Notamacropus eugenii: one gene and its partners. The protein of the gene in region 2 purifies or fractionates together with the protein of the main gene of each other region. This does not show direct contact. Links are inferred from orthologs where the notes say so. Each region holds a gene or a part of one and is shown on either strand. Other genes may lie near its edges.

Region 1 (10,672 bases), on a different chromosome or scaffold from region 2:
TGCAGGTCAGCAGGTAGCCCTCAGCAGCCTGGTGCTGTTCCTTTTCTACCTTCAGGTTCTGCTGGGACTGGGCCAGCTTCTCCCAAGCAGCCTGCAGATCCTTTTCCTTCCTTGACAACTGGATAGCCCCCATTTGGAGCTGCTGCCATAGGCTACCATTGCTGACCTCCAGGACCTGTTTGGTGTTTCTAAGCTGGTGAGATATCTGCATATCTTTTGGACACAGAAAAGCAGGGAGGGTGAGAAAAGTTGAGTTCATGGTTTCTACAACCTTATAGGTATTTATCATTTTTCTCTACCTGTTTCTTGCAAACTTCAAGACAACTTCCCTCTTTCAGCTGCTTGTCTCACCAAAATTGGGTTATGAAGTTCTTGTGGGTTTAATCATGAGGGTTTAAGGAGCTAAAGGCTGAAGAAGGAGGTGGATCTAGGAAAGCACAGAGCTATAGGGACCACTCCCACAATAGACATTCATAAGGCACCTGCTATATATAGAGTACCATGCTAGATGCTGAGGAATGTACAAGGTTTAGCCAAGGCATGGCCCCTGCCTTCATAAATCAATTGCTAATGAACTTATGGAATTATAAAATGGGGCAGGCACACCTGGTTCTTTGGGTACACACCAGGAAAGACCACAGTGGCAGTGGGAAGTAAGGCTGCAATCACACTTTAATAAGGCACAGAAGACATAGGGAAAAATGGCATAGAAAGTACAGAGTGATGAAAAAATCAGAGGAGAGGATGTAAAGGCAGATAGCAGAAAGAAGAGAATGGGGAGGGGAAAAGTCACAGAGTAATTTACATCACCATGGATTCAAGGTAAGAGCTCTAGGTAGCATGGACTCAATGGAGATGGAAAAATGCTTGGTGGAGGGGAGAGAGGAGTTTGAGGTACCATTTTTATAGATTTTGTGGGGGGAGATAGACTCTCATACCTGTGCCACTTTGAAGTTAGTTCATTAACATATCCAAATCACCTCAAAGTTGTCGTTAAAACTTTAACGTTAACATATCCACACCTTTGCAAAATTATCAGCACTATTGTCTTAGTGGAGATGTCTAGAACTTATCGGAGACTAACACATCATAGAACTCAAAGGCCCCGCAAAGCCCTGATTTAGCACATATTCCTAGCATGTGATTGTTAGTTAATGTATGATACGGTTTACAAATCATGCTCCTTTGATCATTGGGACAATCTGTACATGACTTCCAGGTTCCCCTTCGTAATCTTACTTACTACTATTACCACTGTATACTGGCTACTTGTAAGCTTATTCATTATATGAACCAGGAACAACTTTCGAAGTTCTCTCAGGAATGTAAGCGAGAGGTGGTTGGTGATTCTGGCAGAGGGATATATCTCCGGAGAGGCAGAAAAGGACTAGAGATAGGGAAACGAGAGGTTTTACATCCCTTCCCAAACCATCCCCATTCAGGGTGACTATTAAAATAAGTCACCGGGGGGGGGGGAGTGAATAAAACCAGGAGAAAAATTTATAGCAATAACACTGTAAAAACAATTTTGCAATGACTAAGAGCTCTGATCAATGAAATGATCAAGTCTGATTCCAGAGACTAATGAAGAAGAACGGTGAGAGGGAATGGACTCGTGATGGAGAATGAGACATATATTTTTGGACATAGCCAATATGAGAATTTATCTTGCTTGGTTATGTATATATGTTTCAGGGTTTTATTTTGTTTTGTTTGATGGGGGTTAGGGGAAGAGAAAAGGGAGGGAGAAAAAAAGAATGCTTGATAATTGGGGGAAAAGAATTTACTATTTTAAACATACGCTACAAGAGAGGACCATACTCACACTGAATGCCCAGGCTGATAGTAGCAACCCCCAACAGCAAACAGGTACCTAGCAGGCTCAGGAGAATGTATGGTATCCAGGCCACAGGGCCTGAGGAGAGAAAAGTTGGTATAGTAGGCCAGTCTGTGTTTGGGGAGGGTGTGGAGGTTTACAGGAAAAAAAGGGATAGTTTTAGAAGGGGTCAGTTATAAGGAGGGAAACCTTATAGGGATAATAAGGGTATGTGGTAAAGCCCTTTATAAGAAGGGGATTGGGTTAAGGTACTGGTTTGGTGGGCATTGTAGGGAGGGAAGGTGTTTAAGGGAAAGGATGATAGGATCAGGACGAAGGTAGGGTAGGTGCTCTTATAAGAGGGGGTCATTATGTGACTGAATTTTCACCCCCAGGACAACAGGGATCATCTGTACTAGGCTTTTTCTCCTTTTCATCATCTATTCCCACCTAGTACTGGGCATCGAAGGATCCTCTCCTCCATCTTTCTTCCCCTGGCCATTGCAGTGCTCCATACTCTAGTCCAGCTCTGCTAGAGGGCAGTCTGGGGTGTGTGTTCCAACTGCTCATACCCTAAGGATGGCCCCAGAGTACTACTAACTACTCAGTCCTAGAAATCCTCTCCTGAGGTCCAATGGCCTGTGTTTTTAGTCATCGATCTTCCTTTCTTTTCCTGCCTTTTTCTTTCTCTTAAAGGCATCTCCTCTTCTTCCCCTGCCCCAATTCTATGTGTTTCAGGATTTCCCTGCCCCAAAGTGCTCCCACCCCCAGACTCAGACCGGCCCCAAAGTGCTTGGTGATTATTACTTACAGGGCAGAATCCTCCTGGCAATTGGTGATGTCACTGAATAAGGTGCAGTCACTGTCTTTTCTGTTTTTTCCCCTCCTGGGAATAGAAGGGTAAATTCATCTTCAAAGTATCCCACCATGGCTATCCCTCTATTTCTGAATCTCCCTCATCTCTCTAACCACCTCCCTGGGTAGTCTCATTTCCTCAGGGACATGTCCATCTCCCTTGGCCCTAACTCCATCTTCCCCAGGTATACCCAGGATCCTCTCTCTTCTCCCCTCTCCCTAAAATCCCTAGGGACACCCTAACACTCCTCCACTCTAACCCTACATGTTCTCAATAAGCAGTCCCTTCAGAATCTTCTGGAACACCTACCTGTTTGTCCCCCAAGTCCAGGCTGAGTGGGGCTAGAGAAGCCATCCTTGGCTGAAGGCACCTGCACATTTTCATAGGTGAGCTCTCCATCCTCATCCACCTCAGGGTCTGGAAGAGGGGGGAGAGAGATGAGGAAATGGTTAATTAGGCATGGGGTCAGTATAAGGGGGTTAGTCATTGAGGAGTGTTGATCAATGATGATAATGGGGTCAATAGTGTGTATGTTCATCCTTCATTGCCAAAGAAGACCATGTCATCAGAGATATGATGACATGACTTGTACTTGACTTTGTTTTGAGTGAGGGAGGGCTGTGCAGGTCACCAGCCTCACTTCTCCTCCAGCGCCATCCAGTTTAAAATTAAATTATTAAATTTAATCATTAAATTATTAAATCCAGTGAGCAGATATTCCTCAGGATGACTGGAGATGACCCAGGATGAGGCAATTGGGGTTAAGTGACTTGCCCAAGGTCACACAGCTAGTGAGTGTCAAGTGTCTGAGGTGAGATTTGAACTCAGGTCCATCCTGACTCCTGCACTGGTGCTCTAATCCACTGCACCACCTAGCTGCCCCAAGGGGTCAATAGTAAGATTTAGGGGATGGGACCAGCACAGGAAGGGTAATTAGTCATTAAAAAGATGAGGCAATGGCATAGGGGTGGGAGATGGGTTAGAAAAGTGAGGATAGCATATGGGAAAAATCGCTGACAATGAGGCAGAGTCAGTGTGGGGGCATCAGTTAGTAAACAGTGTGTGGTGTCAGCATAGGAGAGTCTGGTCACTGAAGAAATAGATTCATCAGTGTATGTGTTGGGTAGGAGGCATAAGTCAGTGACCAGGGCGGGGCACAGGGAGAAATGCCCAATCAGAAAAGGATGATCAATCAATCAATAAACATTTATGGATTACAAGGAGATAATGGAAGATTAACTATGTGAAGGAGGATGGACTATAGGAAAATGGTGTCAGGAAAGGATGATGAACTATAGGGAGATGGTATAAGTGAAGGGGCATGAAGTATTGGGAAATGGAGTTAGTGAAGGGAAACTGACTATAGGGGAGTGGGTTCAGAAGAGATGGGGCATAAAAGGAGTCAGCTTCAGAGAGGGGAGAATACCAGGAGGATGGAGATCAGAGCAGGGGATAGTATCAAGGCTGTGTTAAGGTTGAGAAATTCCAAGGACTCTTACCCTGCTTCAGCCTAGCCGAAAGGGTCTTCTTCAGAGGGGATTTCACAAAGCGAAGATCTGCATAGGTGATAGATTCAGCCATGGTCCTGAGTTCCTTACTGTCCCTCCCCTCCAAGCCTGTCCCTCCCTCTCTTCCCTTTTTTCCCTTCTTCTCTGTCTCCCTTTTTCTGTGTGCCCCCTTCTCCTTATCTGATCCCCCTCCTTCCTTGCCCCCTTTATGTCTCCTGCCCTCAGTCCCTCTGAGGCTCTCTGCCCACTCCCTGTTGAGAGCATGTCACACTGCACAGTTCTTTACCAGATGATTTTTAGTCACAAAAGAGGAAGATATTAGAAATTACCACCCCCATCCCCCCAGCTGGAGTCAGTAAAGCAAAAACTGGGGTCAGCTCAGAAATAGAAACAGGGTAGGGTTAGTGATAGGAAGGGAGAGCACAGGGGATGGAAAAATTGAGGCTCAGGGGAAGGAGCAGGTTCAGAGGGACCAGAGGCAGGGGAAGGGGAAACTGAGGCTTAGAGATGGGAACAAGCTTCCAGGAAGCCTTCCCTGATTAACTTCATTCTGTCCTACTCTGACCACCCATATCCACACCCACCCCTGCCCACCAATGCCTCTTACTCTGTATTTTCTGAGCACTTAGGGACTCTAATCTGTCTCCCCAGCATATAGACAGACTCAGTCTATGGGTAGTTATAGGGACCATGTCATCAGACTTGAGGGTCCCCAGGGAAATGTCTGTGTCTTTCCAAGCCAACTTCCAAAGAGGGAGACTCTTCCCCCCACTTAATTTCCTAGGATGGTGTTATCAGAACAAGATTTTCCTCAAAGTTGGGAACCATATTTCCCATTTTTCATTATGACTCCTCCCACAGGATTATGTATGCAGAAGGTGCTTAATCAAAGATATTGGTTTACTGACTGTAATGGTAGTTCTGTGTTTGCCAACACCCAGCACATGCAGTCTCCCAGGTCAGATTCTCAGGGATGTGAGACTAGAATCCTCCAGGTATTTGGCACCTTGCAAGGACTCAGAGGACCAAGGACCAAGTCGTCCCCCTCTAGCAATCCTGCTTAGGGTTCTTTCCTTCCCCATCTCCCATTTCGGTCATGCATGAATGGTCTATTGACAGTCAGAGATAGACCGGAATTTAAAGATCATTTCTAGACTAACACTTTCATTTTGTAGGTAATGAAATTGATATTCTCACTTAAAGTTGCTGCTCTGGTCCTGTCACTTCACTACCCTCTATCCAAAAGAGGTTCAGGATGCTAGAATTGGCCCCCAAGTGTCCTACTCCAGGTTCTCAAGACTAATCAATCAACCATAAAACTTTATTAAAAACCTATTAAATCCCAGGTGATCTGCTAGGTACTGAGAAAACAGAGAAAAAAATAATTATTTCCTCCCTTCAAGGAGCCTATATTCTATTGGAGAATAACCCCTGGAGTGGAAGAAATTGTGTACCTAAGAAGTGGAGGGGACTGTCAGTCATGGGAATGGGGATAAAAGGGATGTGAAAACAGCCTCAACGGTTTGTTTCTGAAAGTGAGAATATAGTCACAGAGACAGAGATACAGAAGTGGGGTAACAGGGGGTCAGCGATGGGAAAAACCCCACCCCCTTATTGGGTTGTCCCCCACCCCCATCCCCTAGGCTCCACCCTTCATGCAGCTGTGGAGAGGGAGAAGGAAGAGGAAAGAGATCATGATCACATCTAAACAACATTTTAACAAGTGACCAATCATGCATGGGACTTTGACAGGTCCTGATAAATGCCTCTGAGTGTGTGTGTGTGTGTGTGTGTGTGTGTGTGTGTGTGTGTGTGTGTGTGTGTATAATGTATTAGACTTTGTCCATGTCTAAATATACACAAAGCAATAAGGTTTGCCCCTACATATAAAAAGGCTTTGGATCTCATCTCCCTTGGGAGAATGATATCACTCTGGGGAATGGTAGCCTCCACATGTAACATGGTGGGGGTGGGGTAGGGTGGAGGGGACAAGATGTCCCTATATGGAATAGAGTGAAACATGTTTAAGAAGACACTGGTGTAGGTATGTAAATAGGACAGTAATGAGTGAGGGAGTCAGGGGAGTCCCACCCTCTGTAAACATCCTTACCTACCTACCAGTAAGGGGCTGAAAGGAGAGATGGGATGTGGGGCAATGAGCATACCAATAAAGGAATCCAGAAGGAATCATGTAATCCCTAGGGAAGACAAATCTTTCTCCCTGCTCCATCCTAGGATGACTCATATCTGCCCCACGGAGCTTATCCTCTAGTCTAGAGTGTGTGCATTAAAAAATTCTCTTCTGGTTATAATCTCTTTCTATTTACACTCCTGTATGTCACTTCAAGCTGACCAATGGATGTGGTCATGGAGTGCTCCAAAAGATTTGTTACCTGTGGATGGGACACTAGAAACCATTGCTTTCCTGCCTCTCCACTGGCTTCTCACTAGAGGCTGGACTTACCTCCCACTTTTTTTAAATTTAATTTTATTATTATTTCTTTAATGTTTTACAATCACTGCCATAAAATTAAGATTTTATCCCCCCTACACCTACCCCCCACTACCCCCCTCCCTCCCCACGACACCATACAATTCTGTATAGATTCTACATATACTTTCCTATTGAGTACATTTTCACTATAGTCATGCTATGTAGTCAGACTAAAATAAATGGAAGAAATCGTATAACAAATCAAAACATGATACACAAACACACATACACATACACACAAACATGATCTGCTACATTCTGCAAATGACTTCCATTTTTCTTTCTCTGAGTATGGAAGGCGTTTTGCCTTAGAAAACCACCATTGGGATTTTTTTTTTAATAAGTTCTTGCGTTATTACAAAATTCCAACTCTACCAGAAAAAACTCTCCCACACTGTGGTCATAGCTGTGCACAGAGTTCTCTTGATTCTGCTCCTTTCACTCAGCATCAGATCATATACGTCCTTCCAGCCTCCCTGAAGTCTTCTTGTTCATCATTTCTTATAGCACAATAGTACTCCATTACATTCATATACCATAATTTATTCAGCCATTCTCCAATGGATGGGCATCCCCTCGATTTCCAGTTTTTGCCCACCACAAAGAGAGCTGCTATAAATATTTTTGTACATGTGGGACCTTTCCCATTTTTACGATCTCTTGGGGATACAGTCCTAGCAGCGATATTGCTGGGTCAAAGGGTATGCACATTTTTGTAGCTCTTTGGGCATAGTTCCAAACCGCTCTCCGGAATGGTGATGAGCTCACAGCTCCACCAACAATGAATTAGTGTTCCAACTCTCCCACATCCTCTCCAGCATTTATCATTTTCTTATTCTGTCATGTTTGCCAATCTTATAGGTGTGATGTGGTACCTCAGAGTTGTTTTGATTTGCATCTCTCTAATCAAAAGTGATTTAGAGCATTTTTTCATATGATTATAGATATCTTTAATTTCTTCCTCTGAAAACTGTCTGTTCATATCCTTTGACCATTTATTAATTGGGTTACCTCCCACTTTTCTCAGACTAACTGGTTTCCCCCACCTACCTCCATCTGCATTGCTTACATAGATATGCAACAAGGGTTAATGGCTATATAATTTCTCTTATATAAAGGGGAACTATACCATAATTAACAAAACAGCAAAAGGGAGGCTGTTCATTGGATGTAGAGTGATTGGCATGAGGAGCTTCTGACTATGGGAGCAGAAAAGGGCTTTTCTGCTTAGATTTCTCCCCCCATGTGGGGAGGAGAGAGAGGTAGATCTTAAAGGTGCTGCTCAGTTAGAAAAGTAGCATATTTCTCCAACTCAAGCAGAGGAGATAATATCTCTGGGGGTTGCTAAGGTTATCTCACCATTCATTGTCCTTATCAGGACCACAGACACCATCAGTAGTTACAATTCGGTGGATTGTCATTGTCCCTGTAAAGTGAAGACCTCGGAAGAGGCTATCTTTAGAGGATATAAAGGAGTTATCACTTATTCTGTTTGGTTCTTCATGGGTCAAAATGGCAAATGGGCAAATTTAGGCTTGAAGGAAGAAAAAGTTTCCCAACAATTAAAACTATCCAGAAGTGGAATGGTTTACCTGGGAGGGCAACAGTTTCCCCTTTTACTGGAGGTCTTCAAGCAAAGACTAGTTGACCCTTCATAGAGTACTTTGTAAAAGGGGACTTTGTTCAGGGATATGTTGGAGTGGATGACATTGGCGGTTCCCTCCAAGTAAATTCAACTAGCTTACATTAACTCTGGCACTAAGCAGTGGGGATATTAGGGGACAAAAAGAAAGATAGTCCCTACCTATGAGAAACTTACATTTCAGTAAGGAAAAAACAACACATAAAAGAAAGCTGAAAATTGGAGGGAACGGGATGTATTGAGGAAGGCGTAATGGTGGAAGAAGAAGTCTGGAATATCATGAATAGGTCCCAGAGAGGAATGAAGGAATCAACATGGTTAGCCTTCAAAAGGAGGTTTCAGGAGGAAACAATCATTCCAAGGAAGGGACCATGGGGGTGGAGGGATTTTCCCATATGAGAAGGCTAATGGAGTACAGAGATAAAGGCAGCATCCAGGACAAGAAGGCTACAGGAGCACAACAGCCAAAGCAGCTTCCAGAGCAAGGGAGACCCTGGAGCTTTGTGGAGAAAGAAGTCCAGAGAGTCACAAGTACACTCCAGAGAGGTATGGAGTAGAGATTCCATCTTAGATTGGAAATCTGAGATTCTGTGATAGGGTTTCTCTCAACTATAGATATGGATATGATGTGACAGTAACATTTTAAGGGTCTCAGAACACTGGAGGATATGAATGTGTAGGTGAATGTATAATAGGAGCACATGTCTGTGTGACTATGTTTCCCTAGATTAGCAACCTGTCATCCTTGACTCTCGATAAAATAAACCTATATAAATCATCAGCATTTCTATATATTACCGACAAAGTCCAGCAGCAAGAAATAGAAAGAAAAATTCCTTTTAAAATAACTGTAGACAATATAAAATACTGGGGAATCTAGCTGCCAAGACAAACCTAGAAACTACATGAACACAATTACAAAACAAAAATTTCTCACACAAATAAAATCAGATCTAAACAATTGGAAAAATATTAATTGCTCATGGGTTGGCCTAGTCAATACAATAAAAATGACAATTCTACTCAAATTAATTTATATGTATATATTATATATAATTATATTATATAATAAAAATATATAATTATAGAATATATATTATTGATTATACCAACTAAACTACCAGAAATTGTTTTATAGAGTTGGAAAAAATAATAATAAAATTCACCTGGAAGCATAAAAGGTCAAGAATATGAAGGGAATTAATTTTTTTTAAATATGAAGGAAAGTGGACTAGACACGCCAGATCTCAAACTATATTATAAAGTAATAACCATCGAAATGATCTGGTACTAGCTAGTAATGAGTTGGAGGATCAGTTAACTAGATTAGGCCAGAAGACACAGTAGTAAATAACCATAGTAATCTAGTGTTTGATAAACCCAAACATCCAAGCTTTTGGGAATAAAAACTCAGTATTTGACAAATACTGCTGAGAAAACAGGTTGGTAGAAATTAAGTACAGACCAACATCTCACCATATAACAAGAAAAAGTCAAAATGGGTACATGGGTACATAAAGGGTGATGCCACAAACAAATTAGGAAAGCATGGAATAGTTTATTTCTCATATCTATGGAGAAGGGAAGAATTTATGACCAAACAAGAGATAAAGAATATAACTAGATAACATAAAATAGATAACTTCGATTACATTACATTAAATTAAAAAGCGTTTGCGCAAACAAAACTAATGCAACAAAGATTAGAAAGACAGCAAAAATCTGAGGAAAAAAATTTTTACAGCAAGTATCTCTTTTAAAGCCTTCATTTCTCAAACAAATATAGAGAACTGATTCAAATTTATAAGAATACAAATCATTCCCTAATTATTGTAAGTGGTCAAAGGATATGAACAGGCAGTTTTCAAACAAAGAAATCAAAGCTATCAATAGCTATATGAAAAAATGCTCTAAATCACTACTGATTAGAAAAATGAACACTGAAGCATCTCTGAGGTACCACCTCATACCTATCAGATTGACTAATATGACAGAAAAGGAAAATGAAAAATGTTGGAGGGGATATGGGAAAATTAGAACACTAATACAATGTTGGTTGAGTTCTGAACTGATCCAACCATCTGGAGAGCAATTTGGAACTATGCCCAAAGGGCTATAAACCATGCATGCCCTTTGATCCTGAAATACCTCTACTAGATCTAGATATCAAAGAGATCAAAGAAAAGGGGAAAGGACTTATTTGTACAAAAATATTTATAGCAGCTCTTTTTGTGGTGGCTAAGAACTGGAAATTGAGAGGGTGCCCATAAATTGGGGGATGGCTGAACAAGTTATAGCATATGATTGTAATGGAATACTACTGTGCTATAAGAAATGACAAAAAAAACTTCCAAAA
Region 2 (10,751 bases):
ATCTCTCCCCTCCTCCACTCCAAGACAGCATGCATTCTGATTACCCCTTCCCCCAATCTGCCCTCCCTTCTATCACAACCCCTCTCCCCTTCTCTTATGCCCTTCTCCTCTATTTTCTTGTATGGCAAGGTAAATCATACTCTTTCTAGATGAGAATATGGGGATCTCTGACCAACCACCTGGTACCCTGGGGATGGGCCCCTCGTGCTGTGTAGCGGCTATCCCTAATCATCTTCCATTTGCCCAGTTGCCAACTCTCATCCCCTCCCTGCCACTATGTTCATCTCACCTCACACATCACTTTGATATGAGTGACCCTGAGTGGGGAGCCCAGCCCAGCCTTGGGCTGGTCACTGAGTACAGACAGCACAAAATCACCAGGTTGACTCAGACTCTCACGAACCAGAAACGTCCAGGGTTCACCTTTGGCCTGAAGTAGCGTCTCAGCCTGGGCCCCAGACATGTGGCCATGGTACCACCTGATGGGATAGAATAAGAGAGAGCAGCAGAGCCTTGGGGGGAGAAATGGGTTTGAAAAAAAGGGAAACTCAGACCCAGAGAAAGGAAAAGAGTCAAGAAGACAAAAACTGGGTGAGACTAAGACCAAGGAGAAACTCAGAGACAGAGAAAACACCAGATTAGGAAACAGAGATGAGGACACGAAGGCTGAAATAGAGATGGTGGGAAGCAGGCTAACAGTGAATCTACAGGCAGAAGCAGTAGATTCAACAACTTAATAAATGCCTCTTATTAAGCATTTTCTGTGTGCCAAACTCATAGTAGTCTCTGTCAAATAAACAGAGATTAGGAAAGACAGGAAGTCACATGAGAAAGAAAGTCCTGGGAGACAGCCCAGGGGAGGCTGTTGCTAAGAACGGAGGGGGGTAACATGAAGGACCCCAAAATCCCATCACAGTGGAGAGGAAAGATTGGGTGCTGCAGGGTTGAGAGGTCAGGACAGAAAGCAGAACTGGAACCTTTCCCCAACATCCCCCCAACTCTCCCCCCTCCCAACCTGTTCCCTAGAGGAAACAGTTAACCCCAGGGCTGCCCAGCCCCACAGGAAAACACGTGATGGAAAAAGCAAAAAAGCTCCCTTTGGGGAGAGAGTGAGAAGTGAGGTTTCTTCAGCCTGGGGGTTGAGGGGGGGTAGAGATTTTCCAACCGCAGGGATGATGAGGTAGGAGGGGGAGGGTAGGACAGACAGTAAGAAAAAGAACTTAATTTTTTCAATGCTTGTGCAGAGAAGGCCAAGGCTTCAGTGACCACTGACCTAAGGACCCAAAGGTTTTCTTTCCAGTCTCCAGCACCTAACCCTACTATTAAGCCAAGAGAACTCTACTCCAGAAGTAGGCCTGGTCCTCCAGACTGAAAAGGAAGGGGCTCTAAAGTCTGGTCCCCAACCTCCAACAACCAGAGGAGGAAAGTCCATGCAAATACTGACTTGCCCACAGGCTAGTAATCAAGTACAGAGGGAACAGATGCAAATTCCCCAGGGAAACTACTTCGAAGAGAAAGGAAAGGGAAAGGGAAGGATAACAAGGAAGGTTTGTTGGGGTGAATTTCTTTTTCTACACAGAGAGTACAGAGTACTCCTCGGGACAATTCAGACATACCCGTTGGGGAAATGGGGAGGGCGTGACCAACCACTCACAATCATCTCTTAGAAGGTCTCCCTTGGTTTGGTCTTTATTAAAAACCAGTGCCTTCACTATCCCCCAATCCATGGCTCTACTGGTTTTTTTTAATTCCCTTTCTTGCATCCTTTGACCCCAGTCAATCTGCCACTATCATTCCCATGACTGACTCAAACTCTTCTCTCTATAGTCCCTCCATATCACCCACTGCTTCTGGCCTTCATGACTCCCTCAGCCCCTGTGTCCTGAGTAGATCTTAGATTGGGATGGGAAGAAGGACTGAAGGAACATGGTAGGTGAAGCAGCAGAGAGGGGACACCATGGAATTACCAAGGAAGGAGGAGAAAGTTGAGGTTGGGTACTAAGTCTGAAACTTCCTAAAAAGTAGTGAGAATAGCTATATGCATTCTCTAGGACTGTTCTTAACCCTATCATGGTCAATATTTTAAATCAGTGACTTGGAATAGTGGCTTAGCTTATCAACTTAGCTAGTTGATAAAAATATATGATAATATATAATATCATAAGAACTGACATGAACAGTTAGTATGAACAGGATTCAATATGCACTGACCAACTAGGTGCACAAGAACAGGACAGGCCAACATGGTTTAGCAGAAGTTAATGTGAAAAGAACTGAAAAGATATTTCAGTTGATTGCACACTTAGTGTCAGAATCATGAAATCTTAGTTTTGGAAAGGATATGAGAGGTTTTCTAGTCCAACCAATAACTAAACACAAATGCTTTCTACAATATACCCAACAAATGGTCATCTGGTCTTCCTCAAAGACTTCCAGTGACCAAAACACTGTTTTTGAAAATCTAATGCAAAATTAACAGAAGTACAGTGTTCAGACTGAGGGAGGAGGTAGTTCCTCTGGTCAGGCCACATCTGGCACTCAGCTCTAGGAGCCACATTTCATAAGGGGCAATGATAAAAATGGTCTGCAAACCATGTCGGATGACTAAAGACTAATGTAACTGGGGATATTTAGGCCAGAGAACAGAAGGCTAAAGGAGAAGATGCTGTCATGTGGGAAAAAAAATAAATGTATTTCATGTAGATTCAGATCACAGAAAGAACAGTAATAGATGGAAACTACAAGGTGGATTTTGGCCCAAAAGAAAAAGAACTTTCTAGAAAGAACCAGAGCTGTCCATCAATGGAATGCCTTCATCTGTTGTAGAAGGGATTCTTGCATTCCTGATGTTACTATTACGCTCACCTCTCCTTAGGTTGAAGACCCTTATTAAGAGTCCAGGGTCAAGGCTAACCTCCCCTCTGAGTGGGGTTAAGGAGTTGGGGGAGGGTTGCCTCACCTCTCGCTGGTGGGGTCAGAGCAGTTGAGTGGGTATTTGAGGTGGATAATGGTGCCATCACGGTCCTGTAGGACGCCTTGCTGTTGAGTGTAATATTCCACCAGTTCTGTCAATGTAGCAAACTTCTCTCCTCCATAGAGATCATAGAAATCCCCTGAATTCTGGATGCGGATGTGGGTCACTTGGTCTCCTACCCTGTGGGACACAAACTAGGAATAGTGAAAATGGGAGCAGAAAAGGAAAGGGGAAAAGAAGGCACAAGGCTAGAACAAAACCAGAGGGTTCAGGCAGGGAGCAGGGAGCAGTGTGGAGGTCTGAGGCTTTGATTCATGGGAGCGCTAAGGGTCATCACACAGGACTGGGGAGGTAGTCTGGAGGAGACAAAGCCAAGGAATGAAGGGCACAGGCAGAGTCACCAGAGAAAAAGGAAGAAAGTCACCAACCTGACTGAGAGGGAAAAGTCCCCTTGGTTCTTTCGACTGGGCCGGGCCAAGAAACTCCCATGGACCCCACGGCCCTTCAGCAGAGTCTCAGCATCCAGCCCGCTGAGATCTCGGTGAAACCACCTGTGGAAGAGAAGCTGCAGCTGGGGACTAGGGCCACCAGAGGCCAGGACAGGTGCTGTCCAGAGCCCAAGACTCAGTCTCCCTTTTCTAGATACAAGAGAGCACCTGCTCCCCTGAACCAGCTCCTCCCCCCAGCATCCTGCACCCTCGGTCCTTACCTCACCATCCTGGGAAGTCTTCCTGCAGGGTAGGCTGACGAGTGAGGAGGGAGGACAGTATAAACAGGGCCCAGGACAGAGCCCAGTCCCTCCTTGCACTGGCCCCTAGCTCCCAGAAGCACCACCAGTCCAGGGCAGCTGAGGGGGGGAGGCGGGGACAGGAAGGGGCGAGGCCAGACCCCCCAGGGGGAACTTGCTTCTACTTCTGCTTTTGTAGACAAGCTGAGAAAGCAGAGCCTTATGGTGGTGGTGCTGGGACCCATCTCACAGGAGCGTATAATTTCTTAACACACGAAGCATGTCGTGCGCATATATACACATGTGTGTGACAGCAACAGAAACATAAAGACAGACTTATGCGCATACCTGGTCACAAAGATCACACACACACACACACACACACACACACACACACACACACACACACACACACAAAACCTCCCACGCAGGAGCATGCTCATATGTAGAGAAGATGAATTCATCTATGACTTCTAACACTTTTCTCCTCCCCTCCTGACAAATTCTCCTCCATCTTAATTGCTTCTATGGGGTGAACCCGGTCCCAGCCCAAGCTTGGAAAAAGAAAGAGAGTCCACTGGATAAAAGGTCATGCCAGAAGGTAACCTAGGCTCCAACTCCCTAGGGAACAGAGAAGCAGGGGCGTGATAGAGCAGGGGAGAGAAGAGGATATCCCGGGGCAGGGCCTGAGAATAGTGTTTGACAAGGAGAAAAGCACCAAAGAATGGAAGGAGAAAAAGTGGAGAGGATGACCCCTGGTAGTCTTTGGGGTAGAGCGCTGGTGTGCTCCTCACCTATAGGCCAGGCTAGAAGACTCCAAGAGAAGGGAAGCTTTGGAACAGAGGGCCAGGTAAGTCACAGAACCCTAGAACCCTGCCTTCCCTGTCTCCAGTTTCTGGGCCACCTGCCTCCAGTCTGCCAGGGGGTGGGGGGGCCTAATTGTTTCTCCAGCCTTCTAGCTTGGCATCCTCTCCCTAAAGGGCTCTCTGTGCTGCCAGAGAGAAGATGGTTGGAAGCCCAAGAACCTCTACAGGAGAAGAACAAAGTTTGGGGGCTCCCAAAGGTTAACAGTCATTTTAATTACTTATTTTAATTTCTGCCAGTCATTCTTCCCAAAGCAACCCAGTGAAATAGAGCTCTAGCTTTGGAACCAAGAAATCTGGGTTCAAATTCTAGCTTTTACCGCCAACTTCTTTCTTTCCTTCCTTCCTTCCTTCCTTCCCTACCTTAGGCAAGGCTACTTACTGTTACTTACTGGGACTTGCCTCTCTGGGACTCACTCTCCTTACCTACAAGATGAAGGAGCTGGATGAGTGATATGATATATAATCCTCACATCCAGACTAGGTTCTCCCTCCTCACCCTGGCCCCCTGTCCTGGAACTCTTAGGACTATGGGAAGGATATGGCCAATCACCAAATGGTTAGGAAAACATAATTCCCACCACTATCAAGGGGACTCCAGTCTGGGAGAGAAATTGACCCAGAGCATCTCAGGTTACAGGGAGACAGGCAGGCCAAGGAGATTGGGACAGGACACCAAAGGCTCTCCATTGCTTAAGGACAGAAAGGGAAGGAAAGGGAAGGGAAGTGTTGACTTTGAAGGACTAGGTTCTTCCTGGTGAGAAAAGAGGCAGGCTGGGAGCACACACAGAAATTCACATACAATACTCAGATATCTACACCAATATCCCCATCCCCATTGCCAAACATTTGTGGAGCACCTGCTACTATATATAGACCTGAACTACCTCCTGATGCTAACAACTTCCCAGTCAATAAGCATGTGTTAAGTGCTTATTGTGTAGTGCTAAGGCCCAGATACAAAGAAAGGCAAAATGACTGTCTTCATGGAGTTCACATTCTGGACAACATGGAAACCCAGCATGTACATTCAAGGCAGATGTCAGGTAACCTCAGAGGGAAAGAGGCCAATAGCTGAGGAGCCTGCAAAGGCCTTTGGTAAAAGGTGGGACATAAAAAAAAAAAAAGTGGGATATAAGCAGAGACCTAAAGTAAGCCAGGGAATAAAAGGTAGAAGTAAAGTAGGAGAGCTTTCTAGGCAGGTTGACAATAGGGGCAAAGACAAACCAAAAAAAGAGAGTTCAAGAAAAAACAAAGAGTTCACAGAGTTAGTAAAAAGCGTTAAGAAGGTAGAAAGGCAACCAGTTATAAAGAATTCTAAAGGCTGAAAGGGAGGATTTTATTTATACTTGATCCTGGAGGTAATAGGGAGCCACTGGAGTTTATTGACTGAGGGTGGGAGGTGGGGATGATATGATAAGATGTGAACTTTAGGGAAATCACTTTGGGAGGATGGTTTGGAGTGGGACTTGAAGCAGGAAGACCTATTAGAATTCCATTGTAAAGAGTCCAGGCAAATTCTGGAAAGCAATCTGGAACTCTGCCCAAAAGTTACTAACTGTACGCACCTTTTGACCCAGAGCTAATACTATAAGACTTATGTCCAAATGAGCAGGACCAAGAGAACATTACATACAGCAACAGCAGTATTGTTTTAAGAATGACTGAGCAAATCAGTCATTCTATCATTATAAATACTCATATTAACTATAAAGGATGAAGGAAGACATAGTCCACATCCAGAGAAAGAACTGAACGTTGTTTGTACTTCATTCTCGAAGGGGACCATGACATCAAGGAGGTGATGCTATGACTTGAAAGTGAATTAGATTTAAGGGAGGGAGGACTGTTCAAAGTCACCAGCCTCACTTTCTCCTCTGGAACCATCTGGGTCCAAAGGCCAGATATAGATAAGGACAACAGGAGATGGCCCCCAGAAGTATGCATAGAATAATTATATACACACCACACACCACACACACACACACACACACACACACACACACACACACACACATACACACACACACAGAGTGATCATCTCTGGGGGAAGGAGGGAAGAAAAAAGAGGAAAAAAAGAAATTTAGATGATAACTTTGTTGTATATTTAAAAGGTACAGCAAGTTATATATAGTAATTTGCAGTTTCATGCGTAATCATTTTTTTATTATACTATACCATGGAAATATTGGTTTTATTCCATAAATTAAAAATGAAATAAATCTTAAAAAAGAAATCAAAGAGATGTAAAAGTAAAATTATCTATAAAATTTTAAAAATTGCAATTGATTATAGCCTAAAAAAAAAAGGACCCATACGCACAAAAATATTTTTAGCAGTTCTTTTTGTAATAGCAAAGAGCTGAAAATTAAAAGGAACTCATCGATTGGGGAATAGCTTAAACATATTACAGTATATGAATGTAAGAATACTATTTTGCCATGAAAAATAATGAAAGGGATAGACCTGTATGAACCTGGAAAGACATATGAATTGATGCAGAACAAAGTGAGGAAGAATCAGGAGAAAAATATTTATAAAAACAAGACTTTCAAGACAACTTGGAAGGATTTAAGAACACCAACCAACTCAATCACTATCCATGATTCCAGAGAACCAAACATGCTTCTCATCTCCCAACAGAGAGGTGATGGACTCAAAATGAAGAATGAAGCATTTTTTTTTTTTACATGACCAACAAAGGAATTTGTTTTGCTTAACTATGCATATTCATAACAAGGGTTTTCTTTTTCTTTCCCTTTCAATAAAAATAAATGCTTATTAATTGAAAAAAAATACCAACAGTCGAGGCAAGAAGTGATGAGTGCCAAAACTAGGGAGATAACTGTGAGAATGAGGAGAAAGGAATGTAGATAAGAAGTCTTGTAAAGGTAGAAATGACACAATTTGACATATTGGATATTTGGATGATAGGAAGAAGTTGAGAATGACATCAAGGTGTCAAACCTGAGTGATAGAATGGTGATACCTTTCACAGAAATAAGAAAGTTGGGAAAAGGGAAAAACAATTAAGTTGTGTTTCAGACATCTTCTATTTGGGTTGTTAGTTGGAGACGCAGGACTGAAGCACTGTCCAAAAGGCAGTTAGTGAGTGATTCAAGACTGGAGCTCAAGAAAGAGATTAGGGCTAGATAAATAAATCTGGTAATCATCTCTATGGAGATGATAAGTGATGAGAACACAAAGTGAATGGGCCCAGGAAAGAAGATTGGGGAAATACTTTTTATTTATAAAATAAATAAAGGATATTTGTAAAGATCCAACAAAGGAGACTGAGGATTGGTCAGAAAGGTGGGGAGGAGATCCAGGAAAGGGGAGTGTATAAAAAACTAGAGAGAATTGAGAATCCAGGAGGGTGTTTGGCAGTATTAAAGAGGGTAGAGTGGTCAAGAAGGATGAGGATTGAGAAAAGGCCATTAGATTGGGCAGTTAAGCAATCTTTGGTAATGTTGGAGAGAGTAGTTTCACTGAATGATGAGATCTAAAGTGAGATATGCAGAGAGTTTAGAAATGAGTGGAGAAGTGGAGGCTTTGGTTAAGAAGGGGAGGAGAGATATGGGACTATTGCTACCAGGGATGGTCATATCAAGTGAAGATTTTTTTTTTAAGGATAAGGGAGACATGTCCATATTTGAAGACAGTGGTGAATGGCCAGTAAATAGAAAGGGGAACTGTGACGATTAGAAAGATACTGGGGATGATTGTGGGAACAATCTGCTAGAGAAGACCAGAGGGGATGGTGTCAAGGACACATGTAGAGGGTCATCCTTGACGAGAAGGGCTGTCTCTTCATGCTAGTGGTGAAAGAGGAGATAGTGGGGGGAGATGCCTTAGTGATCAGAGATGACGAGGGGATTAGTGAATGGTCTCAATTTTTTTTTTTTGGTGAAATATGAGGTAATATGAAATATGAGCTGAGGAGAGGAGAGGAGTGTGGCAAGAGACTTGAAGAGGGATGACAAGCTTTGGAACAGTCCAGGGAGTGAGTGGAAAAGTGAATTGATTAGGGAAATCATAAAAGGATTGCCTTTCTGCAGTGAGGGCCCAGTTGAGGTTATGCAACATTTATAGTCCATCAGGCAAGTAGGGGCCAAATTGTAGAAAATATAATTTCCTGCCCAAAAAGCATCCATGACTCCCTACTGCCTCCACAATCCAATGTAAATAGATCAAAAGTAAATTACTCAAGTATAAACCCGTCTCTAGCCTACTCATCCAAGCTCCTCACACATGACTCTTCTTAACACACTCTTCCAGTCCAGTCAAACTAGACTTTTTACTCTTCACATTTAACTCATTACATTTCGTCTCCCATCTTGGGGTCTGGGATACACTTTCTCACCTCCATCTCTTACAATTCATAATTCCCTTCAGAGATCAGCTCAAAATGGGGTTCTTTCCTGATCTCCCCCACCCTAGTTGCTAGAACTAACTCCTTGGGGGAAGAAAGGGAAATTAGGTTTAATTTGAATGTATTTTACATATGTCTCTAAGTTGTTTCCTCTAATAAAACAGGATCTTTGAGTCGGAACTTCTGTTCCTTCTGTCTTTGCATCTCCAGCCTCTAGAGTCCTTTGGCTAATTTATGGAAACTCTGGACTCCTCAGAAGAACGTTTTTAAAAATATAAAATATATAAAATTACAAAAGAAGTATAGTTACTCAAAATGATTTTTTTTAAAGTTCAGGGACCCTAGGTTAAATTCCCTTACACTGGGAAAGTAATTAAATGCTTATTGACTGGTGATTCTGTAGGAAATATACAGTGTCAACAAAGATTTTTGAGGGGAGGAAGAAAATATCCACAAAGCAATTATTTCAGAAGGTGGAGTAGGTAACTGTGTATATAGGATGCATAAGGGGAGAGGGAATAAGTATTTATCTAGTGCCCACTACATGCTGGCCCTTTACCAGTATCTCATTTGATTCTCACCACAGCACTGTGAGGTAGACGCTGCTATTATATACCCATTTTACAGAAGATGAAACTAAGACAAACAGAGGTGAAGTGACTTGCCTAGGATCTCATAGCCCGAGGTCACATTTGAACTCAGACTTTCCTGACTGGTTCTGAAGCGCTATCTCCCATAGCTGGCTCTCTAAAAAGAGAAAAAAAGACTGAAGGCAGGGAAATTGTTTGAATATAATCATGAGAGAACAAGGAACTGAATGATAGTGGGTCATCTGATCTTGTTCTGATCTTGGGAGACAGTGGAGAAATGTGAAGAATTTATAGACTTTTCTAGGTTCCTTCAGGCCAAGTTCTTCTTGGTAACATTTTTATATTTTTACAGACTTCTTCCAGCACTTATAATGTGCTATGCATTTAATTAGGTGCTTAATAAGTGTTTGTTGATTTTTTAAAACAGACACTGAAAGGAGTTAGTGTCACTGCATTCCAGGCCCAGAGGAGATGCGTGGAATGACCAAAAGAGGAAGCTAGTTTAGGGGACAGTTCAGGTGGAGGTGTCCAGGAATCAGTTAGAGATGTTGGGAGATCAGAGCCTGGAAATATAGATTTGAGGGACTTGCCAAAAAAAAAAAAAGAGGCAAACGTTACCCAGATAAGAGTGAATGGATGGATGGATTATGGCTTCCAAGAAGAAACTGTAGAAAAATAAAATCAGGAACCTAATGCTTGAGTCCTGAGAAGCACTCACATTTAGGGAAAATAAGAGGAAGTGGTGTGGGCAAAAAGATGTCACAGAGGTGGAAGTTACCAGAGGTAGGATATGTATCTCCCCTCTCCGCCCTAAACTCAAGGTGAGCCAAGCTTGGAGTTTTGATGAGGGGGGATAAAGGTAAATTCGGGCAGGGCCAGAGAGGGGGTGTGGAGAATGCTAACCTCTGAGCAAAAATCCAACTTCCCCTTTTCTCCACCCCCACCCCAAAGTATTCTAGTACAAAGCACACTAGCTAATTAATGTCCAGTCTGTGCTAGCCACCATCGCAAAGCTTAATCCCTTCCTCTTCCCTATCCCCCACCTACTGGATTCCTCTTCGTCTGCGTGACACCACCTGTCCTCCCTTGCTTCGTCGATTCTAACAGTACTGAGGTCCAAACGGTGGAAGCTGGAGGGAGCCAGGGTTAGGGGACTTACCCTGAGGACAGCATCTCCACCCTCGGCTGGGTCTGAGTGGGTAGCCACAGACAGGGCTGGGGGAAG
Region 3 (10,946 bases), on a different chromosome or scaffold from region 2:
AGAGAGAGGAAACTGCTTGCCCGAAGTAGCCCAGGTATTCAGCAGCAGCATCAAGAACTGAACCCTGATCTTGACTGCCTCCAAGTCTGCCATGATTCCCTGGACCAAGCTGCTCCTCAGAACCTGTAGCTTCCAGGAAGGAAGGCTCAGCTTAAGCATTAGCCCCTTGAGGAAGCCTTTCTTGGGGGCTCCCAGTTGCCAATTCTCTGTTCTCTCACCTGCTCCTGGATTTACTTTTCCTTGTATACATGTTGTATCATGCAAGTAGAATGGAAGCATCTTGAGGGCAAGAACTCTGTCCTATCTTTATCTGTATTTCCGTTCCTCAGACAGTTGATTCAAGCATGTTAACATGCAATTTATCAAGCACTTACTATGTGCTGGGCTCTGTACTGGGTGCCAGGGGCACAAAGAAAGGGAAAACCACAGTCCCTACCCTCAGGCTGATCACGTTCTAACAGAGGAGACCACAGGCAAACAATTGTGCACATATAAATATATAAGGGGTGAATGGAAGATGATCTCAGCAGGAACCCACTAGATTTGGGTTGGCCTAGACAAGGTCTGTTACTGGAGGTAGGATTTTAGCAGAGACTTGAAGGGAGCCAGGAGACAGTCGGTGCAAATGCAGATGGAGGAGAGATGGAGGGCCAGGGTGAGGAACTTTACCTGCTTAGATACTGACTGACCTAAACTGAATTGTACTCTATTGTCTATTTGCCTATCAGCCTTGGGCTGATATTAAAATGAGGCTCTGATCTCTGAGTTCAGCCACAGAGATAGACTAGCATCCTAGACACCACTGTGTGATGGGGAAGGGGGAGGAGGTAGGGGGAAGACAGAAGGAAGCCCTGGCGAGATACACCATTGCCTGTAGCTCATCCTTAGAGGTAGGTGATAGACACTTTTCTTACCCTTCTCTCTGGGCAGGCCATGCATGAAGATATTTAGGATTATGGAGATGAAAGTGATAGCAAAGCTCTTTCACAGTTAAGGAACAGGGGACCCACTTGAGGAGACTCACGCTTCACATCCAGCAAGACAGTCTTCTCAGAGAGATGCTGAACATCAGTGTGCCAGAGCTGGCAAGTCAGCCTCTTGCCATGATGAGTCCAGTTGGGAGTAAATGTGAATTTGCTCTCCGTCACAACCCTTTGGATTTCCATGGACTGTGAGTTCTCGACCTGGCCCGGTAGAACCTGCTGCCCCTCCAGGAACCAGTGCAAGCTCACAGGGTACTCAGAACAGGAGTAATTGAGGAAGCAGGTCACAGTTACTTTTTGGAACTCTTGGAGCCGCTGTGGGAGCTGAATGTGTGGTTGAGGTGCAGACTCTGAGGGAGAAAAGGAAGGAGGGTCTAGAAAGGGAGGAGGAAGGTTTCTTAGCTCTAATCTGAGAGGTTTGAAGAAGGGACCTTCATCCTGGGGCTTCTCTCAGAATCTCCTTCTGGACAGCTTCCCAATTACTCCCACCTGACTCCAGTCACCCCTCTGCATCATACAAGCAGTCACTTCTTAGAGGCTGCTTTGTAAGTATTCATAGTAATGGTAGTAGTGTCAGTAATAAAGGTAGTGCTAATAATCATTGTAACTGTGGTAATAAAGTGGGGTAACAGTAAGAAAAGAAACTTCCCATTTCTATCATGCCATTAAAGTTGACAAGACGCTTTGGTCACAAGAGCCCCAGGAGGCAGGGTAGTAGTGCAAGGAACTCCCCCAACCCAAACTGTTGGGGTTCCCTTGGCCCTTCTTGAAATGCTTTTTTATCTTTGTCCATGTTCTACTTCCTGCCCTTCCATCACTCCAGAATGGAAGATCCTTGAGGACAGGGAATGTTCACTTTTTCTTTGTGTCCCTCTTGCACAATGCCTGGCATACAGTAGTGCTTAATAAAGGATTGTTGAATTGGAATGAGTAGTATGCCCATTTTCTAGAGTGGGATGTTCTATCTACCCTTACTTATCTGTCCAAATGAGAATTCTCCAACGGCAAAGACTCTGTTCTCTATCAGACCATGGACTGCCCTAGGCCTGAGGACCTTCCTCTCCTGTCAGGCTCACAGCTGCTTGAGACCAGGAACTAGGTCATCTCCTTTTGTGCCGCCTTGCCAGAGCCCAGCACAAAACAGCTCGTGCTTGCCCAGTCAGCTTTGTGCAAATATTGGCATGCTTTGCTTAGAGAGTAGGAGCCATGAGCAGTGTACCTGGGCTTGCTGAGAATGCCCTTCTTCCCCTTCCCATGGCCCCTCACCAGTGATGTTGAGTTGTGTTTCTTCCATCCATTTGTCATCCTGGGTCGTCATCCTCAGCCCCAGCTTCCCACTGTCGTTGACCTGCACTGGACGGATGAGCATGCTACAGTCCTGTCTTCTATCGTATCCCAGAAACCGTGTCCTGTTGTTCTTATTAGAATCAAGCATGTCAAAGAGGATGGTCCCATGGAACGTCTTGTTCTTCTCAACATACTCCGGATTGAGGTACAAGATATATTGTTTTAGTGTTTCCGTGCCCTTAGAGGTCTTGTAGCTGCAGGGGATCTGGACACAGGTGCCTTCCCAAGCATGGAGGACCTTTGGTAGCTTGACGTCCCAATGACAGAGACCCAGAACCAGGAATCCTGGGGCCCCAAAAGGCAGGCAGAAGAGAGAGGGAGGGAGTGGGGTCAAGAGAGAAAACAGATTCTGTTTGGGGGATAATGAGACAGAAAACCCATGAAACAGATAGTATACACAAAGACTAGGCCAAGAGGGAAAAACACATACCCGTGCGCACACACATACACACACATGCACATGCACACACACACACGCACAACCAAGCAGAGCCCGTGGAGAAAGAGGAAGAGCACAAGAGACACAGTTAAGAGCAGTTTCCCTGTGGACTCTCCTATGAAGGTAGCTTCTTCCACCCCCATTTCCACATCATCCTCTTACCTAAAACCTCCCTCCCTCCTCAACTCCCACCCCTAGGTACTGGCAACAGTCCTTACCAAGAGCCAGAATAGAAAGGTGAAGGAGGCTCATGATGCCACCTCGGGCCTGGTCAGAATTCCTGAAAAAGGAAAATCAGTTCTCAGGTCAGTCAAGAAAGTCACTTATTTTGTTCAGGATGCATTCCTTGGTCACTCCCATCCATTCCTGATCATCGTTTTCCTCCACTGTTTTCATTTGTGGTTGTGGGGCTCTCTGGGTTCATCACTCTTTGGTATGTTTGAGGGGGCATTCCTGTTTATAGCTGTGTTTGTAGATCTTGTCTCTCCTTTGAGATTGGAAGTCAGGGAGAAGACTCCTTCTCTTGTTTTCTCTCTCCCCCATGACCTTCGGTCTAGAATTCTGCACAGGGAACACTCATTCTAAGGTGTTGACTCACAAAGTTCAAGAGATGAGAGAGTAAAAGCATGATGAGGAGGGCCCACCCCAATATCTATTTCACTTTCTGAATGCACACATACTGCTTTTCTTGTCCCTGATTATGATTAACATTTGCATAAAGTTAAATTTGTCTCTATTTACATGGCAGGTGCCTTTAGCATGGTCCCTTGGGGAATGACCAGGATGTGCTGATAGAGTGTGTCTCCTGTCACATCAGATTCACTCTCATCTCCACCCTTTTTGCCTTCCCCCTGTGGTTCCCCTTCTAAACCTTGTAAAAAAAAAAAAAGGAGCTGGTATGGGACTGGTACTGAGGCAAAGTAGGCCGGCATGGGTACAAATAAGAAGCTAAAAGCTGGCCAGTAGGCTGTGGGGGCCAAGGCTATGCTTTGGAATAAACAGAACTCAAAAAGTTAGAAGTGGAGATTGGCTAGAGAAGCTAGATGTGACCAAATCTTCCCGCCTCCAGGGCTCCCACAGTGGATTGAAGCTGAGAAGCCATTACTGTGGTTCATACCACGGAACCACAGTAATGAGTATAGTTCTCCATCATTAGACCCAACCTCAACCAGCAAATGCCATCCAGCTCCCCAAAGTCCTCAGCCCCGGGTCAGGTCGATCCCTGCCTTACCCTGGTCAGGAACCTGGCTCAGGACACCAGGGTGAGAAGGAAGGACAGTGGACTACGTATCCTTGCTTGAGGTGACCAGAAAGTCTCAGGCTAACTACCATTAAGGGGTGCTCCCACCTTAGTACAGTGATCAGGGGAGAAGAGACAGAAGTTGGGGATAAATCAGAGCCCACACATGGAAGGTTTGTTGTAGTCCATGTTAAAGTTTCAGGGTAGCATCAGGGAGAGGGGAGTGAGTGCTGACCAAAAATGGCACTTGGCACTTGAACAGGACTACGAGGAAGTCTGGGAGGAGGCCAGAGAGGAAGGGAAGGTGTAAGATAAGGAAAGAATAGGGTGCCTTTTTACCTGCTTCTTGTACATCCTCCGTTTCTCCCTCCTTGGGGGTGAGAACAGCCTCAGTGAGAAAGAGGAAGTTCTTTGCTTTTTACATCTAGCCCTGACCTGTGACTCAGTCAGTCTCCTCCCTTGTCTTGAGGGGCTAGGGGTAATTGAGAACCAATCTGAAAGTTTTAATGGAATGAGAAGAGAAGAAAGTGGGGGTGAAGAGGAACAGCTAATTTACTGAGATACAGGTCTTGGTTATTCAGCTGATGGATTGTACAGGACAAAATGTGTTTAATGTCAGCTCAGTTACCTCTGGCCACTGCCTTCCCCTCTCTACCAGTGCAACTCAGGAAATTAAAATCCATTTCAATACAATCTATAAACCAAGCAAATTTCAAAGGCCAATGTGGTTTTTAAAAACCCTGAAGTCAAATAGAAATTACATTGTGGATTTGTTGTTCTTCAGCCATTTCGGTCATGTCCGACTCTTTGTGTTTGGAGTTTTCTTGGCAGAGACACTGGAGTGGTCTGCCATTTCCTTCTCCAGCTCATTTTACAGATGAGGAAGCTGCAGCAAACAGGATGAAGTGACTTGCTCATCATCACATAGCTAGTAAGTGTTGGGTGTCAGATTTGAACTCTGGAAGGTGAGTCTTCCTGACCCCAGGCCCAGGGCTTCATGCACTATGGCGCCACCTCGCGGCCCCACTGTTAATTATCTGCCATTTAAAAAGTATCCATTATCCCCAGAACAAAGAAAAAAAAAAAGTAGAAAAAGAAAAAGAATGAAGTAGAATGAACTGTTTCAGCTGGCAGTGGCTTCTGGGCCTTCAAGCCAAGGCTGGATGGCCATTTTTCAGAGGGAACATGGAAGGGATTCTCAGTCAGGGATGGGATGGCCTTTGTGTCCCTCCTAGCTTTGAGATGCTGACAGTCTCCTCCATTTGAAAAGATAACTGAGAGGTTGGTGGTTGGTGGTTTTCATTTTCACATTGACCATGAAACAAAAGTTTCTAAATGGAGAGGACATCTTGTACTGAGGGCAATTTGAAGAAAAAGTTTTTACAATAGAAACCCCATCATTCATCAACACCCAGATCAGTGTTTCTAAGTGGAGACAAATTAAGGTCAAGTTATGCAGATCCTACTTTTTTTCTGCTCCTTTTCATTTTCCCCTCCCCACAAATGCTACCAAGAAATAATGAAAGAGAATGGGAATTGTGATGGGATAAGCAGTGGGAAGCCAGTGGTTGGGGAGATTGGTTTCATCCTCCTTGACCACTGCTGACCATCCTTCTCCCTCTTCCTGGACACCATCTTCTTCTTGAATTTTCATGACTCTCTTTTTGCTTGATTCTCTCACTTTTCTAGCTTCAAACTTTACAGACACCTGGGGCATCACCATAGTGTAAGGTAAGATGTTTTTTCCCACCCCTGTCAATCAGGAAATCCTAGACAGATAGATTGAATGAATCTATTTAAAGTGTAACTAGGTGTGAATAAAGCCTTAATTGATTTGGGAGGAGGGAAGTGCTTTAATCATTGGATAAAGATGATAGATGATACTACATTTTTTAAAAATTATCTTGTGATTGGCTGAAAGAATCAGACATATCCCTGTTTGGTTCAGAACTGTGCATTCCAGAAGCAGGGAGTTGGATGGTGGTCAATTCCAGAAATGAAGGACACTTGAGAGGGAACTGCCCTTTGCAATAGGGAAGAGGGAGTTTTCTCCTTCCCAACACCACTGACCGCCTGGTAGTGACCTTGGGAACCTCAAAAGGTCAGAAGAATTCCCACTGGCATCAGGCAGCAGTAAAATCTGAAGGCAGAACCTTCGTTGGACAAGGGCAAACTCAAAGCACTAAGGAAAGGCAGTCCCAGGACCCTCAGAGCCAAGTAGAGAGAAGGAAAACTTCATAAGAACTCTACAGTGACAGGAACCTGGAGCTGGGAGTTTTCCCTTTGACTACAAGTGAGCTCTTAAGTGTGAATCCACTCTTTCCAACGACCTTGTGTATGCAATGCATGGACAGAGCTTGCCCCAGTTAGGGAAGGAGGATGTTTCTATGACAACTATGCTTGCTATACCTGTTTAGTAAATACCCTTTATAAAAGATAATTAGCTCTGATCAGCAATCAATGGGAAGCACATTGTTGGAGGCTTCTATGCAACAGTACTAGAAAACTCAGCCCCTTAGGGTTATCCCTAGAACTCTGATGGGAGGAGCAGAGCAAAAGTTTAACTAGAATTCCTAGAAGAGAAGTAAGAGATTTGGGGGTTTTTTTTTTAAGCTAAACATGATTTTAAATGAAATGAGAGTGCTAGGGGAAATGATTGGGAAAGAAATGAGAATTGGAAAGAGAATTAACATCTTGGCACAAGAGGTACACAACCTGAACTACACAACAGACTCTGAAAATTGAAATGAGCCAAAAAGTAGTTAATGATTCCATGAGACAAAAAACATTGCAACAAAGTCAAGAGATTGAAAAAGTACTAGAAAGTATAAGATATCTCCTATCAAAAACAACTGACCTGAAAAACAAATCAAGTGGAGAGAATTTAAGATCATGACTTGATTTGCTAAACCTTGGGGATACAAAAAAGGCAAAAAGACAACCCCTGTCTACAAAGAGCTTACGTTCTACTGGGAACAGCAACAAGTAAACAAGTACATGAATTATATAATTATAAATATGTATATATTATAAACTATATTACAAATGACAGAAGTTATAAAACACATAAAAGATTTATGCAGAGTACTGGAAGACATCTGAAACAGAAAAACAGTAGCAGGAGGAACGGGGAAGTGTCTCCTAGAGCAAGTGGGATTTGAACTAAGTTTTGAAGGAAATCAGGGCACCTAAGAAGCCTAGGGTGAGAATGCCATTCAAGGAGTGGGAGCTATCGGAAAAGCAGAGAGAGCCCAATGGAGTGTTATATTCAAGGAACTGGGGATTCACCTGTAGCCCAGTGTTGCTGGAATGTAGACTGTGTGGAGGAGAGTAAGGTGTAAGAAAACTGTGAAGGGAGGAAGGGACCAGGTTATGAAGAACTTTAAGTACTAAACAGGGGTCACATAAGCAACAAGATGGCACACAAGACGTTATCTCTGATCCACATACCTTCTCAGACCTCTCCAAAACAGAAATTATGTGCCAAATATAAAGCAACTTCAGCTATCTCTAAGACACAGAATTCAAAAGAAAGTTGAATACAGAGAGAGAGACAGAGGGAGGGAGAGAGAGAGAGAGGAACTGATGACTCACTGACCCTGAATTCACTCAGTAGTACTCCACCCTTGCCTCCCACACTACTAGTCATGAGACTTCACTAGCAGACTCAAGGACACTGTACAGGCTTACATCGAAACCCACTGTCGCACCCTGGTCCCGCCTTCCTCTTTCCTGAACTATGGAGACCCCAGGTTCTGGCTGCAGAAGTTTGCTCTGTCCTCAACAGTTAGCTTGGCCACACCCATTCAGGAGCAAAAGCCTACTAGGGTCTACAAACTTGGAGTACCGGTGCTACAAAACTCTGAATTTACAATGCCAGGGAAAACAAACTCTAAATTGCTAGTTCCAGACCAGAGACCTGAGGTATGGAGAGAGCAGAAAGGTCACCAGGACAGGACACCTTGCATGTGGGGAGCTGTGCAGTGCTCCACCAAGCTTGAGGAGAGAGCACAGCATCCAACTAGGGTTAGTTCTGACCACTCAAAAGTCATTTAGGCCAGGGGCTTATGTTGTTGAAATGTGAATTGCCCATTATAGGTAGAAGTTAAGACACTTTGACATCTGGCCTATGGTCAGAGGGGAGAGAGCCAAGAAGTGAATGATAAGGAAAATAAAGGGGAAAAAAGACTGAAAGTACTACAGATTTCAGTAAGAAGAAAACTTAAAGACCTTGAACATAAACAGATAAATCAATGGGACAAACATTAACAACAGAAGGAAATATGGCCTCCAAAGCTAGTAAATGAGTTCAAGTATGTATGAATAAATTCTGCAAAATAAAGGAAGATGATCCAATACTTGATGAGACAGAAGAGCCCATGAAAGTTGAGAAGAACATGGAATCACAACTCACTGTTCCTGAATGGTTTAAAAGAGAAGTGACAATTATGAGAGCAGAATTTGTGTCCTGCACAGCAAAAATAACGAACAGACTTAAATCTACAGTGGAAAGCCTCATAAAAGAAACAAAAGAGAGAACAAGAGATTGGGAATGCAAATATACAGATGTGAAAGACAGTCTAGAAAAAGAGAAACAAAAAACAAGAGTGTTAAGAGAAAATATGCTCACAATGCAAGTAAAATATATTAAACCCAAAGACAGGAGGCAAAGACACAAGCCAGAAAAACAACAGGAGACAAAACCTTAACACCCTCATGAAGGAAATAATAGAAGAAAACTGCCCAGAACTTCTAAACACAGAAAGTGAAATTCCAATTGAAAGAATTCACAGATTACTTCCAGGAGAGAAAAACAAGCCACCGAACTCAAGGCTGCACATCACATGTAGTGATTAAATTTAGCCATTCAATTCTGAAACAAGTTCTTCAAGTCATCAGGAGAAAGACCTTCAAATATAAAGGAAAGGACATTTGAATAATGCAAGACTATTTCTCAGCCACTAGAAAAAGGAGGAAATAATGTATTCTGTCCTGTAAATCTGAGCCTAACAACACAAAACAAAAGATGGATGCTCAATAATAAGAAAAGTTGGAAATGTTTTTAGAAAAAACTAGAACCAAAGAGATTATTTGTCTCTTGGACACCTCAAACAACATAAATACAGGAGGGGTGAATAAATGCAGATAGCAACTGCAATGAATGACAACAGAGACTTCTTTCTAAATGTATACAAGGAGCCAGGGATGAAGATGGAAATCTGGTAGAGATAACAGTGAAGAAGACTACAGGGGAGCATTTTGAACAGAACCTGGAGTCACCCTGCCTACAGGTGAATGTTTCTCTTTGGGACTACCTTACAACATGAGAAGATACAAAACAGAAGGAGAAGAGCAGGGAGATAGAAAAAAATGACTGGGATCAAATGCAGAGCTAGAAGTGAGTGGAAGGTGACTTCTATGGTCCCAGAAAGAGAAGAGCCTAGAAGGGAATGGGTAAGGAGAAGGGAAAGATTGAAAGGGGGATGGAAGAGGAGGCCTTACTTTGGAGATGAGAGGAGTCCCACTGATGAATACCCCTATGGGTAAAGAGAGATGATCAGTGAAAGAGATGAGACCTGGGAGATTTGGTACTTGAGAAATCTACTTTTCTTGGGAGGGAGAGAGTTTGGAACCCCTGGGGGCAGCTGGCATCTAGAAGAGTGGAAAGAGCATGGACACAGGAAGGAAATTTCAGAGCAAATGTAGGAAAAAGGTCAACAAGAGGCTTTAGATTAGTGGGAGGGCTGCATAACTAGGGATACGGTGGAGGAGGGGTCCTACCATGGGCCAGTGCTCTCCCTGACACCTGTAATTGCTAGCATCATTCTGGAAGTGAAGTACAATGGGAAAAGACAATCTTTGGAGGTCAAGTCCTATAAAGCAGTGACAGAAAGGGACTGGAGGACAGAACCTAGAATGGATCCCTTGGAAGCTTTGGTTGCATGAAGAATACAGAGAAGAGAGAGATCAGATAATTATAAGAGTCATGAATCAGAGAATGAGGGTCTACAGTAGACAGAAAGAGAAGATGGATAATGAATAGAGTGAGAGAAATCATTTTTGGAAAGGCGAGCAAAAAAAGTGAAATTTTTTTTTAAAAAAACCTAAGGAACAGGACTAGCTGAAAGAAAGGAGAGGAAGGGGGAATATCAAATGAGAGGAAGGGATTAGGAGTGAGGAGAAGAGAGCCAGGAGGATCAGGATCACCTTAAAAAAAGGATTAAATCGACTGAAGAAACCTAATACTATGTCTACAGCAGAAGAGGGAACTTGGAACTGAAAAGCTTCCGTAAGAGAGCACATTATTGCATGTAGGACAAGAAGGGAAGTGATCAAATGAGGGGAAAAAATCTTTGTATCAAATTTCTCTGGTAAGTATCCCATATATATAAACAATTAATAAATAGGTATAAAACTAATAACCATTCCCCATGACTAAAATGTCCATACTCTTTGAACCAGAGATTGCATTACTGAACATTTACCCCAAGGAAGCCATTGATAAGGGGGGGGAAAAGTTCCCATAGATTCCAAAATATTTATAGCAGCACTTTTTGTGATTAGCTAAGAATTGGAAACAAAGTAGATGTCCATCATTTGGGGAATGACTAAACAAATTGTGAAATATCAATGTAATAGAATATGACTGTACTGTAAGAAATGATTTGTGGGATGAGTCCAGAGAAGCATGAAAAAATCTTGAACTGATGCAGAGTGAAAAAAACCAAACCAGGAAGACAACATGCCCAGTAACCCCAACGATGCAAGTGAAAAGACCAACACACCAAAATATCAATATAAGATTTTAAAGATCAAATGGGACTTCACATGAAGAGAGATGAGAAGATATGCCCAGCGTGCCCTTCGATGAACGTGCACTCTGCCATATGGGATGGCCTTCAGAGAGGGGAAAGAAGAAGGGCTTGGGTTACTATGG

What was found. The genes of interacting proteins can lie anywhere in the genome.
Region 1: the proteins of PTPN6 (region 2) and CD72 purify together in Homo sapiens (affinity purification with western blotting; 3 studies listed by BioGRID). This does not show direct contact. The link is inferred for Notamacropus eugenii from reciprocal best matches to the Homo sapiens genes PTPN6 and CD72.
Region 3: the proteins of PTPN6 (region 2) and CD22 purify together in Homo sapiens (affinity purification with western blotting; 5 studies listed by BioGRID and IntAct, with this or other methods). This does not show direct contact. The link is inferred for Notamacropus eugenii from reciprocal best matches to the Homo sapiens genes PTPN6 and CD22.

What each region holds. Positions count from the first base shown.
Region 1 is NC_092872.1:79,154,817-79,165,488, forward strand, and holds the start of CD72 (B-cell differentiation antigen CD72), read right to left. Parts: upstream 4,399-10,672; 5' UTR 4,254-4,398; coding exon 4,172-4,253; intron 3,090-4,171; coding exon 2,982-3,089; intron 2,703-2,981; coding exon 2,628-2,702; intron 1,916-2,627; coding exon 1,826-1,915; intron 214-1,825; coding exon 1-213. UniProt on the Homo sapiens protein: Co-receptor of B cell receptor (BCR) that plays both positive and negative roles on B-cell functions. Recognizes the Sm/ribonucleoprotein (RNP) self-antigen ligand, and coligation of CD72 and BCR inhibits BCR signaling.
Region 2 is NC_092874.1:195,339,291-195,350,041, reverse strand, and holds the start of PTPN6 (tyrosine-protein phosphatase non-receptor type 6), read right to left. Parts: upstream 3,970-10,751; 5' UTR 3,947-3,969; coding exon 3,684-3,946; intron 3,526-3,683; coding exon 3,403-3,525; intron 3,155-3,402; coding exon 2,960-3,154; intron 480-2,959; coding exon 290-479; intron 1-289. UniProt on the Homo sapiens protein: Tyrosine phosphatase enzyme that plays important roles in controlling immune signaling pathways and fundamental physiological processes such as hematopoiesis.
Region 3 is NC_092876.1:32,628,116-32,639,061, reverse strand, and holds the start of CD22 (B-cell receptor CD22), read right to left. Parts: upstream 4,399-10,946; 5' UTR 4,349-4,398; intron 3,050-4,348; 5' UTR 3,022-3,049; coding exon 2,988-3,021; intron 2,616-2,987; coding exon 2,250-2,615; intron 1,334-2,249; coding exon 1,025-1,333; intron 1-1,024. UniProt on the Homo sapiens protein: Most highly expressed siglec (sialic acid-binding immunoglobulin-like lectin) on B-cells that plays a role in various aspects of B-cell biology including differentiation, antigen presentation, and trafficking to bone marrow.